Macaca fascicularis: one gene and its partners. The protein of the gene in region 1 purifies or fractionates together with the protein of each later gene. This does not show direct contact. Links are inferred from orthologs where the notes say so. Each region holds a gene or a part of one and is shown in the gene's direction. Other genes may lie near its edges.

Region 1 (4,285 bases):
AGGGCAGGAAGATGGTCTGATTCACCATTTTATTCCCAGTATCTTGCACAATGCCTGGCAAATAGTGTGTGTGCATATATATATATATATATATATATATATATATATATGCATATATATATTTCAAGACAGAGTCTCACTCTGTTGCCCAGGTTGGAGTGCAGTGGCTCGATCTCAGCTCACTGCAACCTCCACCTCCCACGTTCAAGTGATTCTCCTGCCTCAGCCTCCTGAGTAGCTGGAATTACAGGCACCCTCCACCACATCCAACTAATTTTTGTATTTTTTTTTTTTTAGTAGAGATGGGCTTTTACCATGTTGGCCAGGCTGGTCTCGAACTCCTGACCTCAGTGATCCACCTACCTCGGTCTCCCAAAGTGCCAGGATTACAGACATAAGCCACCGCGCCTGGCCATAGTATATCTTTTAAAAATATGTTAGTAGAATAAATGAATGAACAGGAGGGATGGAACTAGATAGGTTAGTTCTGTATGGTATCAATCTAGACTGACATTCCTAAGGCAATATTTGGGCCACTTGCTCCCACAGTAGGCAAGAACTATGGGAAAACTAGGATAGATTATTTTAAATCAAGACTGGCCTGTAAAAACCAGGATGTGAGATCTCTGTGGCTACAGGAGCCCAGAGGGAAAAATCCACAGATATCCACAGGCCTGGGATTCAATGTCATCCACACAGTAACACACCAGGATCCGATTCCAGAGACCAGCTTTGAGCGGAGGTGAGCAAATAGCTACTGTGTGACATGTACCTTAGTTTTCACACTTTTAAATAAAACATCTAATTTCTTCCTTATGATTGACTTACGACGTATGTTTCAGAAAGGAAGAAATTAATCTTTAGAGAGATTCAATAACCCACCCAAGGTCATATAGCTGAGAAGCACAGGATAAGGGATCAGGATTTGTGCCAGGTTCCAAGGTCTATGCTTCTTCCACAGTCCTGAAAGAGCAAGGTGGAGGAGGGGACCAAGGAAAGGGGCAGCCCTGAGGATGGGTATCCCTGGCCAGCCTAGTGGGACAGCCCATGGATATTGGGCTCTGGGCTGAAGAATTAATTTTGGTGGCCAAAGTGCCTTCTGGCGTCCACTCTGACATAAGGGTAGGGGCCACCTGAGTTCCTCAGAGCCTTCCTCACTGCATCACGAACACGGGTGTTCTGACGTGCTTCAGCTGACGTCGGTGTCTGGTGTGACAGATGCTCTGGCTGTTGGCGGGGGAGGGGGCGGACCCTGCTGCCGCCCAAACCTCTAGCCGGTAGCGCAACCCCCCAAAGCCGTCCCCACCGACCCCTCCGCGATCTGCTGGAGCAGAGAACCGCGGGTGGAGCCCAGCACGTGGGTCCGCAGGGCGGAGGGCGGAGACAGAGCGGCGCCGGACTACAAGTCCCACAATGCCCCGGGCCGCGGCGGCGAGGAAGGAGGGGTGCTTCAGGTGCCTGCGACCTCCGCGCCTCCCGCCCGGAAGTGTCCGAGGGGCCGCGATGGAGCTGGGGCAGCCGGGCGGTGAGTCCCCGCGCCATGACCGCGCCCACCCCGCCGCCCAGGGCCCCGGCCGGGCCCCGCCCGCCCTGCCCTGGATCGCCGTGCCCTCCTGCGGCTCCGGGGGGCGGGAAGGTGGGAGGGGTGATGAGGGGTGGGGGTAGGGAACGTGAAGTCTCGGATTCCGGGCGGGATCTGGGGTCTGGCAGCCCGCGGGGCTTGGAGACACTTCCAGAGAAGGCGTGGAGTTGGGCCTCCGCGGAGTGGGGTTGAGGGGACCGAGCTGGGTGGGTGGTGACGCTCGGAGGCTCCAGATTGCCCAGGGGCGGAGTTTGACGTTTGCTGTGGGGGAAGCCTGGGAAGCAGTCCTGTGCCGCGGGTGGGGTTTAGGTGAACCGTAATGCGGGGGGCGGGGGGTGGGGGCACAGAGGCTCTACCCCCACCTCGGAGAAACTTTAGCAACGGAGTAGATGAGCATGGGGTGAAGTCGGTGAAGGAGTAGACACACTGGGGTGAAGTGGGCAGGAGAATAGATACGCATGGGCGTGAAGTTTGGCTGGGGTGAAGTTTAGGGGAGGCGTTGCTTAGGCCCTTACCTTGGGATAGGGTTTGGGTGAGTTGGGAGCTGGTTGAAGACCTCGAGCTCAGATGACAGAAAGTTAGGACTTGGGATTCGGCGATGGGAAGGGGCACCCGGAGGCAAGTTTGGGGCGACTGGGAGGCAAAGCAGCCCGTACCCTGGGGTGGGTGAGGGAACCCAGGCTGAGGACGGTGGGAGCGTCGCGGTGGGGTGGGGGCAGGACCCTGTGGAGGTTCCAGGGCTCCTGGTCAGAGGGCCCGCGCCTCACGGGCTCTTTGTGCCTCTCCAGCTCGGTAGCGCGGCGGGCAAGGCAGGCGCCATGACCCTGATTGAAGGGGTGGGTGATGAGGTGACCGTCCTTTTCTCGGTGCTTGCCTGCCTTCTGGTGCTGGCCCTCGCCTGGGTCTCAACGCACACCGCTGAGGGCGGGGACCCACTGCCCCAGCCGTCAGGGACCCCAACGCCATCCCAGCCCAGCGCAGCCATGGCAGCTACCGACACCATGAGAGCGGAGGTCCCAGGGGCAGAGACCCCCAGCCTGAGACACAGAGGTCAAGCTGCACAGCCAGAGCCCAGCACGGGGGTCACAGCAACACCACCAGCCCCGGACTCCCCGCAGGAGCCCCTCGTGCTACGGCTGAAATTCCTCAATGATTCAGAGCAGGTGGCCAGGGCCTGGCCCCACGACACCATTGGCTCCTTGAAAAGGTACGTAGGTCAAGAGGCAGGAGCAATGCTGAAGACAGGGGTGGGGGGAGTGGTCACAGAAGGCCCCAGGAGAGACCTAAGACCCAGCCCTCCTTTATACTGGAGGCGCTGAGCGCCCCAGATCACAACTGCACTTGTTCCCTTGGCAGTCTGCCCCTCCCAGGCCAGGGCCGGTGTGTTGTGGAGGGCAGGGGAAGGGTGGGAGTGTTGTTCCGGGGCCAGGGACTAGGATTGCCTGAGGCCTGCTCTCTTACCCAGGTCCCTCTCTCCTCAGGACCCAGTTTCCTGGCCGGGAACAGCAGGTGCGACTCATCTACCAAGGGCAGCTGCTAGGCGACGACACCCAGACCCTGGGCAGCCTTCACCTCCCTCCCAACTGCGTTCTCCACTGCCACGTGTCCACGAGGGTCGGCCCCCCAAATCCCCCCTGCCCGCCGGGGTCCGAGCCCGGCCCCTCCGGGCTGGAAATCGGCAGCCTGCTGCTGCCCCTGCTGCTCCTGCTGCTGCTGCTGCTCTGGTACTGCCAGATCCAGTACCGGCCCTTCTTTCCCCTGACCGCCACTCTGGGCCTGGCCGGCTTCACCCTGCTCCTCAGTCTCCTGGCCTTCGCCATGTACCGCCCGTAGTGCCTCCGCGGGCGTTTGGCAGCGTCGCCGGCCCCTCTGGACCTTGCTCCCCGCGCCGCAGCGGGAGCTGCTGCCTGCCCAGGCCCGTCTCTCCGGCCTGCCTCTTCCCGCTGCCCTGGAGCCCAGCCCTGCGCCGCAGAAGACTCCAGGGGCTGGCAGAGGCCCCGCCCTGCGACCACCGGGGCTCGGGGCCACCTCCCGGGGCTGCTGGCCCTCAGTCCGCACTGGGAGTGGGCTCCTCGGGGTCGGGCATCTGCTGTCGCTGCCTCGGCCCCGGGCAGAGCCCGGCCGCCCCCGGGGCCCGTCTTAGCGTTCTGCCGGAGGACCCAGCCGCCTCCAATCCCTGACAGCTCCTTGGCCTGAGTTGGGGACGCCAGGACGGTGGGAGGCAGGTGAAGGGGAGGGGCATAGGAGTTCCCCGGAACTTGTGCAGATTAAAGTAACTGTGAAGTTTTCACTCTTGCAGTGTGTCTGAGTGTGTGCGGGATGGCGGGCGGGGACTCCTCGCCCCTTGGGAGAGAAGGGCACGGACGGCGCCCTCGGCTCTGGCCCACCGCTTTCCCTTCTCCCCTGCCTTCTGCTCTGGCTTTGGCGCCGGCCTCCGTGGCCCCGCCCCCGGTGCCGCGCGCGCACTTCCCGCGGGCGGAGCTCACGGCTCCCTGGCTCGCAGTGCCTGCCGGGAGCCACGTCTCCGCTGGTCGATAGCTGTTTCGGGATTGGTGTCCGGGCGGCTATCTGGGGGCTGCTGGGAAGATGGCGGACTCGGTGGCCAGCCGATGAGGAGGCCGCGGGGGGAACCCGGCCCCCGGGCCCCGAGACCGACTGAGGGAGCGACCTGCGCAGGGCCCGGGGAGTCATGTAGGGGTGGCG
Region 2 (4,288 bases), on another chromosome or scaffold:
TAAGAGAATGTCTATAGAAAACAGGGTATGGAGCAAGTTATTTTCCATTCCTTTTGCTTTTTGGAAGTTAAAATACCTAAGCTCTGCAAATATCATTTATTAGGAACAGATAAGGTCCCAGACATTCCTAGATAATAAAAATCAAATGAATGATACAGGTAAGTGTATTTATTGAAGGGTGTGGGTAGAGTGGTCTGGGAAGGCTTCCTTTAATGAAGACAAATTGATTCTATTTACCTCTTCTCACTTCCACTACTAAAGTAACCCTGGGCCTGCAGTTTCCTAACCACTTGACTTTCTTGCCAACAGTCTGTCTCCACTTTCAGCCTTTTATAGATTCATTGGCCCTAAAGCACTGCTTTCCCATACTTCCCTACCCAAGAGGGCAGGGGTCCTCAAGCCCTGGGCCGCGGACCGGTACCAGACAGTGGCCTGTTAGGAACCCAGCCCGATAGCAGGAGGTGAGCGGCGGGCAAGTGCGCATTATCGCCTTGAGCTCGGCCTGCTGTCAGATTAGCGAGTGGCATCAGATTCTCATAGGCACATGAACCCTGTTGTGAACTGCACATGCAAGGGTTGCGGGCTCCCTGTGAGAATGCCTGATGAGCCGAGGTGGAACAGTTTCATCCCGCAACCCACACACACCCCCACCCCCTTTACGGGGACTGTAAAGGTCTTTATAACCCTAGTCCACCTTGTCCAGTTATAGTTCCACCTCTAGCCTTTCAAGGCTTAAACCATGAATGCCCTTGATTTCTCTTGTATTCATCTATCTCCCACCTATACCTTTTTCCTTCCCTTTTTTATTTTTGGCAATATGTGCCCATGGTTTAGAATTTAAAACGAACAGAATATGTAGTGACCCCTACCATAGCACTCCTTTCCATCACACAAGCCTTCAAGGAAACTGAAGTACTTTTGTCTCCCTGGAGGATTCCCTCTGCCTCCCGCCCCATGTGCTTAGCAATTCTGTTCCTGTTGTCTGGATGGCCTTCATAAAGCCCTCACTGGACCAGCATTCTGGCACATAATAGGAACACTTAAAAAGCGAGAGAATGATGCAGTTATACGTAGTGTCTTCCTCTTCTGAACTTTGACAGCACTTTATTTGCAACAAGTTTAGTTGCTCCTGAAGTGCAGGATCTGTGCTGGAAGTACGTGCGTGTTACACAGTGGGGCTCCTCATACACTGCAAAAGGACACATAAACCAAACAGCTACCGCTTGAGAATGACCGAGTGGGTTCTCTGCACAAGAACAAACCAACCAGTCCCTTGTCCGAAAGGCCCTTTCCTTTTCTCTGCTTCGCTGCTCACTCCAGATCCCCGGCTGTCCTCTTCCACAGCAGTTAACCAGCAGTGTACCGAAAAACAGCGACTTGCCTCCAAAAACCCTGCGCGGTCCGCGGCTAGGATAATTTTGTCCCATGCGCTTCCCGTCTCACTAGTCGCGGGCCGGGGCTACGCCGTGTGCGTCCCCGCGCAGCCGCAGTACTGGGCGAGTAGGCGGGGCCGGCTGTTGGCGGCGGTTGGCTTGGCCCGGGAGTCGGATGCACGTGCGGGCGGGGGCAATGCGTCACTGATCGGTGAGGCGCGGCCGAGGGGTCGGCTTTCCTCGCGAGCCTGCGGCTGGGCTCGTTCTCAGTGCCTTCCACCTGGGAGAGACCCTTGGGAGAGAGAGTGTCAGGAAGGTCACCGAGCAGGGGCGGCCCACTGGCCTCCAGGGGCGGAGGAGTTGGCAAGGGGTCAGCGGGCTCCGCCAGAAGGGAAGAATGAGGGGACTGGGGCACTGGACTCCGCGGCTCAGCCTGCGAGAGAGCGCCAGGCTTCCGAAGGGAGAGGGTGGAAGCTGGAGGGGGTGGACCTGTCACTCACGGGACTGAGGGTGCTTTTCTCCCGCTCCCAGGAGGAACGAGGATGAATATGACTCAAGCCCGGGTCCTGGTGGCTGCAGTGGTGGGGTTGGTGGTTGTCCTGCTCTACGCCTCCATCCACAAGATTGAGGAGGGCCACCTGGCTGTGTACTACAGGTGAGCGGCTTGTGCAGTCAGTCAGGGCTCTAGAGAACGTTAAAAGGGTACTCCAGAGTGGAGTCTGGGAAGTTGTTCCCTCTGCAGCGTTCGGGGACGCATGTCCCATCTCTAGGGAAAGCACGGGGGTCGAAGCGGGCTTTTACGGAACACCGTCCAGATGTTGGACAGTTTTAGTGCTATGTTCGTTTTGTTGCAGAGATTAAGTCTCCCTACGGTTATTCCTATACACAGCAAACTCAAATTATTTGTGGAAAAATGAAGAAGGAAGAAAGAAAGTAGTCATTCTACCTCTAACTGAAGAGATGGATAAATTATAGTTTGTCCAACTGTACAGACTTTATGCTGTATAGAAAATTTGGTTCTGTTTATGATTGTTTCTTAGACTTTTTCATTTAAAAGCTTCCAGTGTCTAGTTACGTCTTGTAACACCATGATGACCATGATAGTGGTTATATCCCTGGACATCCAGGGACATAAGCATAACACTGATGGGCCATTCTCCTCCCCCTTTACTGTTTCTGTTCAAGTTGGGGACAGGAGTGGTGTGGGAGCTGTTGCTTTCTTGTTGAGCTCTCATAGCTTTTCCTTCAGCCTAATTACCACAAGTTCCTTTTGATGTAGACTGGTAAGAGAGAGGCCAGTTTGTGAAGAAATTGGGATAATGGTGTATTCAAAAAGAGGGTCAACTTTTTGCTTGCTTCCACTATCCCTCAAAACTGATATTTCTATTTTCAGATCCATCCTGAATCCTAGAAAAAGAACAATTTTAATGGTATATCTTAGCAGATGGAGCTCTAGCATAAGAAATTACAGATTAGTCCAGATTTCCTTCCAGTTTAGCATTGTCTTTCTGGCAGTAAAACCAGAGAAAGGACATTTCAAAGAATGACTCAAAGAATTAGTGATGAACCTCAAACAGTTCATCTTTTCTTGTTATTATGACTTAGCAAACGTGTTTATATTTTCAAGACAGGAAGCTAAGTTCTGTGAATTTACAAGGTGCAAAATAGGACTTCTTTGTTTTATTTGCTCTCCAAATGCCTCCTTTTTTATAATTTCCAGGGCTTGCTTTCATAGTTTTCGCATTCCAGGATTTGGTGAACAGGCCCTTAACCTGTTTATATAGTCTTGTCACTCTTCATCTTTTCATGCTAATTTTTTTTTGTTTTTATATAGAAATTTTATGTTCCCAGTATTTTAATTACCTTGCAGATAGATTGAAAGAACTATAAGCCTCAGAAATTTTCTCTTTACTTCAAAGTTTGCATTGTCTTTTTTCAACCTGGTGATTAAATGTATTATATATTTTGATTTGGCTTTTGTTATGTACAGTTAATGTACCTCTACTGAAAGCCATTAAAATTTTTTAAACAAATATTTCTCAGAAGGTTAAAGACCGAGGAGAATCCTTTGAACCTGAGAGCAGTGCTGGAGATGCAGAGGTACGGTTGGTTGAGCTTATGAAACAAGGTGTAACATTGGCAGTTTAATTTGATCTTTTTACCTTTTTAGGTGTGGAGGTATTTTAAGCAGTTGTTCATTATGAGTAATTCATATTAGTGAGGCTTTGGTAGGTCAGCAGCATGAGCAAGAGTGAGTATTTATTATAGCATTTTAGATTTAGAAAGATAATTTTTGTTTTTATAATTTTGTCAAATTGAAACATCTTTTTGCAGGGGAGGAGCTTTACTAACTAGCCCCAGTGGACCAGGCTATCATATCATGTTGCCTTTCATTACTACATTCAGATCTGTGCAGGTGAGTGATTCCTAGGGAAGCCCCCATACCAGATAGACAGGTGTGACAGGAGTTACCACACTTCTGGGTGGAGATAGATTTCCTTATTGCTTAAGCAGATGGTGGTATTTACTTAAATGCAGGAGTTAACGTTCAGAGTACAGTTGTTACAACACAAGTTACTATGTTAAACCACCTCACTTACTTGAAATGAATTAAAAGTATGAACCAGGTAGCTTGGAAGGACTGACTTCTACCATCTATATTGTGATATGTAGCAAATTTTTTGTTGCTGCTATTGCAATAAAAGTAAGAATTAGGAACACAACTAGACATACAAACCAGTGATTTGATTATGTGGTTTAGAACAGTGTTTGGTTTCCACAGAGGCAGGCTCCTGGGCTACTGTTAACATGGAGGATCAAAAATTTTTTTTTTTTTTTTTTTTTTTTTGAGACGGAGTCTGGCTCTGTCGCCCAGGCTGGAGTGCAGTGGCCGGATCTCAGCTCACTGCAAGCTC
Region 3 (4,055 bases), on another chromosome or scaffold:
AGGCTGAGGCCGAGAATTGCTTGAACCCAAGAGGCGGAGGTTGCAGTGAGCCAAGATCACGCCACTGCACTCCAGCCTGGGCGGCAGTGAGACTCTGTGTCAAAACAAACAAACAAAAACCAAAACTTTTTTTTGGGTGGGCTTGGTGGGTCACACCTGTAATCCCAGCACTTTGGGAGGCTGACGCTGGCAGATTGCTTGAGCTCAAGAGTTCAGACCATAGGCAACATGGATCTACAAAAAACCCTGTCTAGACCGGGCGTTGTGGCTCATTCCTGTAATCCCAGCACTTTGGGAGGCTGAGGCGGGCAGATCACCTAAGGTTGGGAGTTCGAGACCAGCCTCACCAACATGGAGCAACCCAGTCTCTACCAAAAATACAAAATGAGCTGGGCGCGGTGGCGCATGCCTGTAATCCCAGCTACTTGGGAGGCTGAGGCAGGGGAATCGCTTGAACCCGGGAGGCGGAGGTTGCAGAGAGCCGAGATCGCGCTTCTGCACTCCAGCCTGGGTGACGGAGCGAGAATCCGTCTCAAACAAAAAAAACCCAAAAACAGAAACCATAGTATCCTCTTATGTAGGCACAAGGGACTCAATACGTGCCCCTGAAGAGCATTTACTTACTGTTGCCCGAGGGCTACAGGGGCAGGTGCTTGAGTGGGGACGGCCAGATTGTCCTATCGCCAACCTCTGGTGCCAGGGTAGATGGACATCCGGGGAGTCCGGGGAAGGGAAGCAAAACGAGCTGACCAGCTGCGGACTATAAGCAAAAATACGGAACGCTTCACGAATTTGCGTGTCATCCTTGCGCAGGGGCCATGCTAATCTTCTCTGTATCGTTCCAATTTTAGTATATGTGCTGCCGAAGCGAGCACGACCCGAAAGTTCCAGCTACGGTTATTTAAAGGCCTTCAAACTAATTACCTTACAGTTAGGAGAACTTATGGTCAGTCTTATGTTTAGCATAACTTCCTACAGTTGTATATTGCCAAATAAATTCTCTGCTTGCACTTACTTTGAGTGTCTTCCGTCACGCAAAATCCCATATCTTATCAAAATTTTACCGTCTTATACTGGCCTCCTAGACGCGGTGGATTGTGGGTGCAATATGCAAAAGCCGTGGGCCGGATGTAGCCTCGCCCCCTGGCGCAGGCCAGGGCGGGGATGAAGCTTCCCCGGGCGGCCGCTGGTATCCCAGCGTTCCCTGCAGGCGCAGGGGGGCCGCTCTTGCCCGGCGTGGCGACTCGCTAGCGTCAGCAGGGCCGCAGCAGGACGAGGAGGCGGAAGATGGCGGCAGCGGCCGGGCGGCCGTAAGGAGCGCGGCGGCGGTAAGGGCGGCCGATGGCGGCCGGGAGGCGCCCTCGGACACCTGCGGGCCGTTAGGGCGCGACGCTGGGCGGCATGTCGGAGCACGCGGCGCCCGGAGCTCCGGGGCCTGGGCCCAACGGCGGCGGCGGCGGCCCGGCCCCTGCGCGCGGGCCTCGCACCCCCAACCTCAACCCCAACCCCCTCATCAACGTGCGCGACCGGCTGTTCCACGCGCTGTTCTTCAAGATGGCTGTCACCTATTCGCGGCTCTTCCCGCCCGCCTTCCGCCGTCTCTTCGAGTTCTTCGTGTTGCTCAAGGTGACCGCGGCGCCGACCCCCGACCCTTGACCCCAGCGCCCGGCCTGACCCCCATGTCTGCGACCTGCGACTGCGGCCCCTGGCCTCGGTGGGGACACCGAGCGCCACCCTGCACCCCGAGGCCTAGATCCGACTCTACCGGTTAGGGTCCTCCCTCGCGACCTCTGACCCTGGGATTGGCCAGGGACACCGTCTCGTGACCCCATCCCGCCCGGGGACGTACACCCGGGAAGGCCGGTTGCCACTGCACTAGAAGCCGCTGTTCTCTGGAAATCTCCATCTCAGCCCCCTCCAGGGACCATCCTGTCCCCGGCGACCGCCTTTCCCCGGTCCCTATCTACCCAGGCTTGGAGCCCGGTCCTGGCCTGCGACGGAGCACCTCCCGCCCTTTGACCCCTGACTCTGCCGCCTGTGACCCTCAGTCCCGAGGCCTCTTTCCACTCCCCGTGTGCTGGCCCAGAACCCAGTCTGACCCAGGGCTCCCTTGGACCAGCCCCAGCCCTGGAAGTCCACTCCCCACTCTTCCTCCTGGTGGGGCTCTCTCTTGTAGGCTTCCACCTGCCCCCACCTCGTTCCCCTCTCCTGAGCCTCAGGGGAATGTGACTTAGCTGAGGTCACCTCCCTAGGGTTAGCGGTAAAGTCACCGGCAGCAGCGTTCCAGCCCATCCCCGGCCTCCTCCGCTTGGTCCCCACCCCCTTCCTGACCCAGGAGTTCAGGTCTGTCTCCCGTGCCTCCTGTATGAGGCACCGACCTCTGCGTCTTGGCCTCTGTCCCCCTCCTGCCCTTCTCAGATGGCACAGAGGTCTCAGCCGTGCAGTACTGGCCTGAGTCCCTCTGAGAAGGAGTCTGTCTTGGGTGACAGGAGGGGCTCAGCAGCAGGTGCAGCCCCTCAGAAAACAAGTTGGCCGGGGTCCTGGACCACCTGGGGAAATGGAGACATGGCCGTTTTTGTTTTGCATCAGAACACCGCAGTGCTGGGGCTTGGCGGGGTGCTGAACTTGCGCCGTGAGCTTTTTGGAGCTAGTCTGCAGAGAGGGGGCTGACGCTGGCGGGCCAGGCCTGTTGGTCAGGAGCCGGCTGCTCTTTTGGGCTCAGCAGGTGGAGCTGGAGCTTGGCCGTCCTGCAGACCTGCGTGTGGGTCCCAGCCTACCGCCGCCTCAAGGGAGGCCCCTTAGCCTCCAGATCTGTGGCCTCCCCAGGCCAGAGCTCAGCCCGTCATCCTTCCCACCTTCTTCCTCCCTGCAGCCCTCCAGAGTGGCGTGGTTGCCTCTGGGCATCTGAGCAGGACTGTGAAGGGTTACTCGGGCAGGCGGCCTTTCCCTGCTCTGGGGTCCACAGACGGGACCTGAAACTGTGGACGGAGGCTGGTCTGTGGACGTGGGTTTTCCTTCCATGGAGTAGCCTGGGTCCAGGATGGAGCCGCTCTGTCCTTAGCTTTGTGGAGGATGTGTGCTGGGTGCCAGGCCAGGTGCCCCCGACAGAGCTCAGCCTCCCTGGGAGGTGCATCCCTGTTGCCTGGGCTTCCGTCCCACCACGTCCCAGTTTGGAAAGGGATCAAGCCTACCCAACTCTTATCTCCAGGCAGGTACCACTCACAGGTGGTCAGATGGGGCTGGGCCAGAGCTGGAGGTCCCCCCTCTCCTGTGGAGGGTGGAGATTCTGGGGAGGTTCTTAGCGCCCCCCATCCCTCCTCTCTCAGCAGGGGGCTCTGGGCTGCGAGATCTCTGGGTGGTGAATTTTTTTTTTTTTTTTTGAGATGGAGTCTTGCTCTGTCGCCCAGGCTGGAATGCAGTGGCTCAATCTCGGCTCACTGCAACCTCCACCTCCTGGGTTCCAGCAATTCTGGAACTCAGCCTGGAATTCTGCCTCAGCCTCCCGAGTAGCTGGGACTGCAGGCGCCTGCCACCACAACCAGCTACTTTTTTTGTATTTTTGGTAGACATGGGTTTTGCCATGTTGGCCAGGCTGGTCTCAAAACTGATTTCAGGCGACCCGCCCACCTTGGCCTCCAGAAATGCTGGGATTACAGGTGTGAGCCCCCGTGCCCGGCCTGGGTGGGGAAATCGGTTCGTTGTGAATTCTCCACCAGGTAATCTGGTGGTTCAGAATCTGACCTTGCCGCCTTCACTTTTACTTATCTGCAAACTGCAGGCTAGGACTGGCTCTCAGAGGCTGCCTTGAATTCCAGAAGGCTCTTCTGCTTCCTGCCCACCCGGCTTCCGGGGCTCTCCCTGCAGAGAGCCAGGTCCTCCCTGGTGCGGTCCCTTCAAGGTTTCTTCATTCTGTGGCCCCTGTGCCGCTGAGCTCCCAGCCCTGAGCTGGCATGGAGCCCCCCGGCCCTCCCCCATGCCTGGGTGGCTTCACGAAATGCCAGGAGCTCCCAGCCCTGAGCCAGCACGAGGCCCCTCAGCCCCTCACCCTTGCCTGG

Evidence for each region. Proteins that work in one complex are often made in the same cells at the same time.
Region 2: the proteins of TMUB1 (region 1) and ERLIN1 purify together in Homo sapiens (affinity purification with mass spectrometry; 3 studies listed by BioGRID and IntAct, with this or other methods). This does not show direct contact. The link is inferred for Macaca fascicularis from reciprocal best matches to the Homo sapiens genes TMUB1 and ERLIN1.
Region 3: the proteins of TMUB1 (region 1) and TMEM259 purify together in Homo sapiens (affinity purification with mass spectrometry; 3 studies listed by BioGRID, with this or other methods). This does not show direct contact. The link is inferred for Macaca fascicularis from reciprocal best matches to the Homo sapiens genes TMUB1 and TMEM259.

Annotation. Positions count from the first base shown.
Region 1 is NC_088377.1:192,360,959-192,365,243, reverse strand, and holds TMUB1 (transmembrane and ubiquitin-like domain-containing protein 1), read left to right. Parts: upstream 1-1,485; 5' UTR 1,486-1,540; coding exon 1,541-1,636; intron 1,637-1,687; exon of another isoform or gene 1,688-1,788; intron 1,789-2,370; coding exon 2,371-2,789; intron 2,790-3,063; coding exon 3,064-3,415; 3' UTR 3,416-3,872; downstream 3,873-4,285. Other genes in the region: FASTK (fas-activated serine/threonine kinase), read left to right, coding at 4,192-4,273. UniProt on the Homo sapiens protein: Involved in sterol-regulated ubiquitination and degradation of HMG-CoA reductase HMGCR. Involved in positive regulation of AMPA-selective glutamate receptor GRIA2 recycling to the cell surface.
Region 2 is NC_088383.1:109,130,876-109,135,163, reverse strand, and holds the start of ERLIN1 (erlin-1), read left to right. Parts: upstream 1-1,488; 5' UTR 1,489-1,743; intron 1,744-1,904; 5' UTR 1,905-1,915; coding exon 1,916-2,028; intron 2,029-3,707; coding exon 3,708-3,789; intron 3,790-4,288. UniProt on the Homo sapiens protein: Component of the ERLIN1/ERLIN2 complex which mediates the endoplasmic reticulum-associated degradation (ERAD) of inositol 1,4,5-trisphosphate receptors (IP3Rs).
Region 3 is NC_088393.1:1,587,927-1,591,981, reverse strand, and holds the start of TMEM259 (membralin), read left to right. Parts: upstream 1-1,255; 5' UTR 1,256-1,401; coding exon 1,402-1,626; exon of another isoform or gene 1,627-2,343; intron 2,344-4,055. UniProt on the Homo sapiens protein: May have a role in the ERAD pathway required for clearance of misfolded proteins in the endoplasmic reticulum (ER). Promotes survival of motor neurons, probably by protecting against ER stress.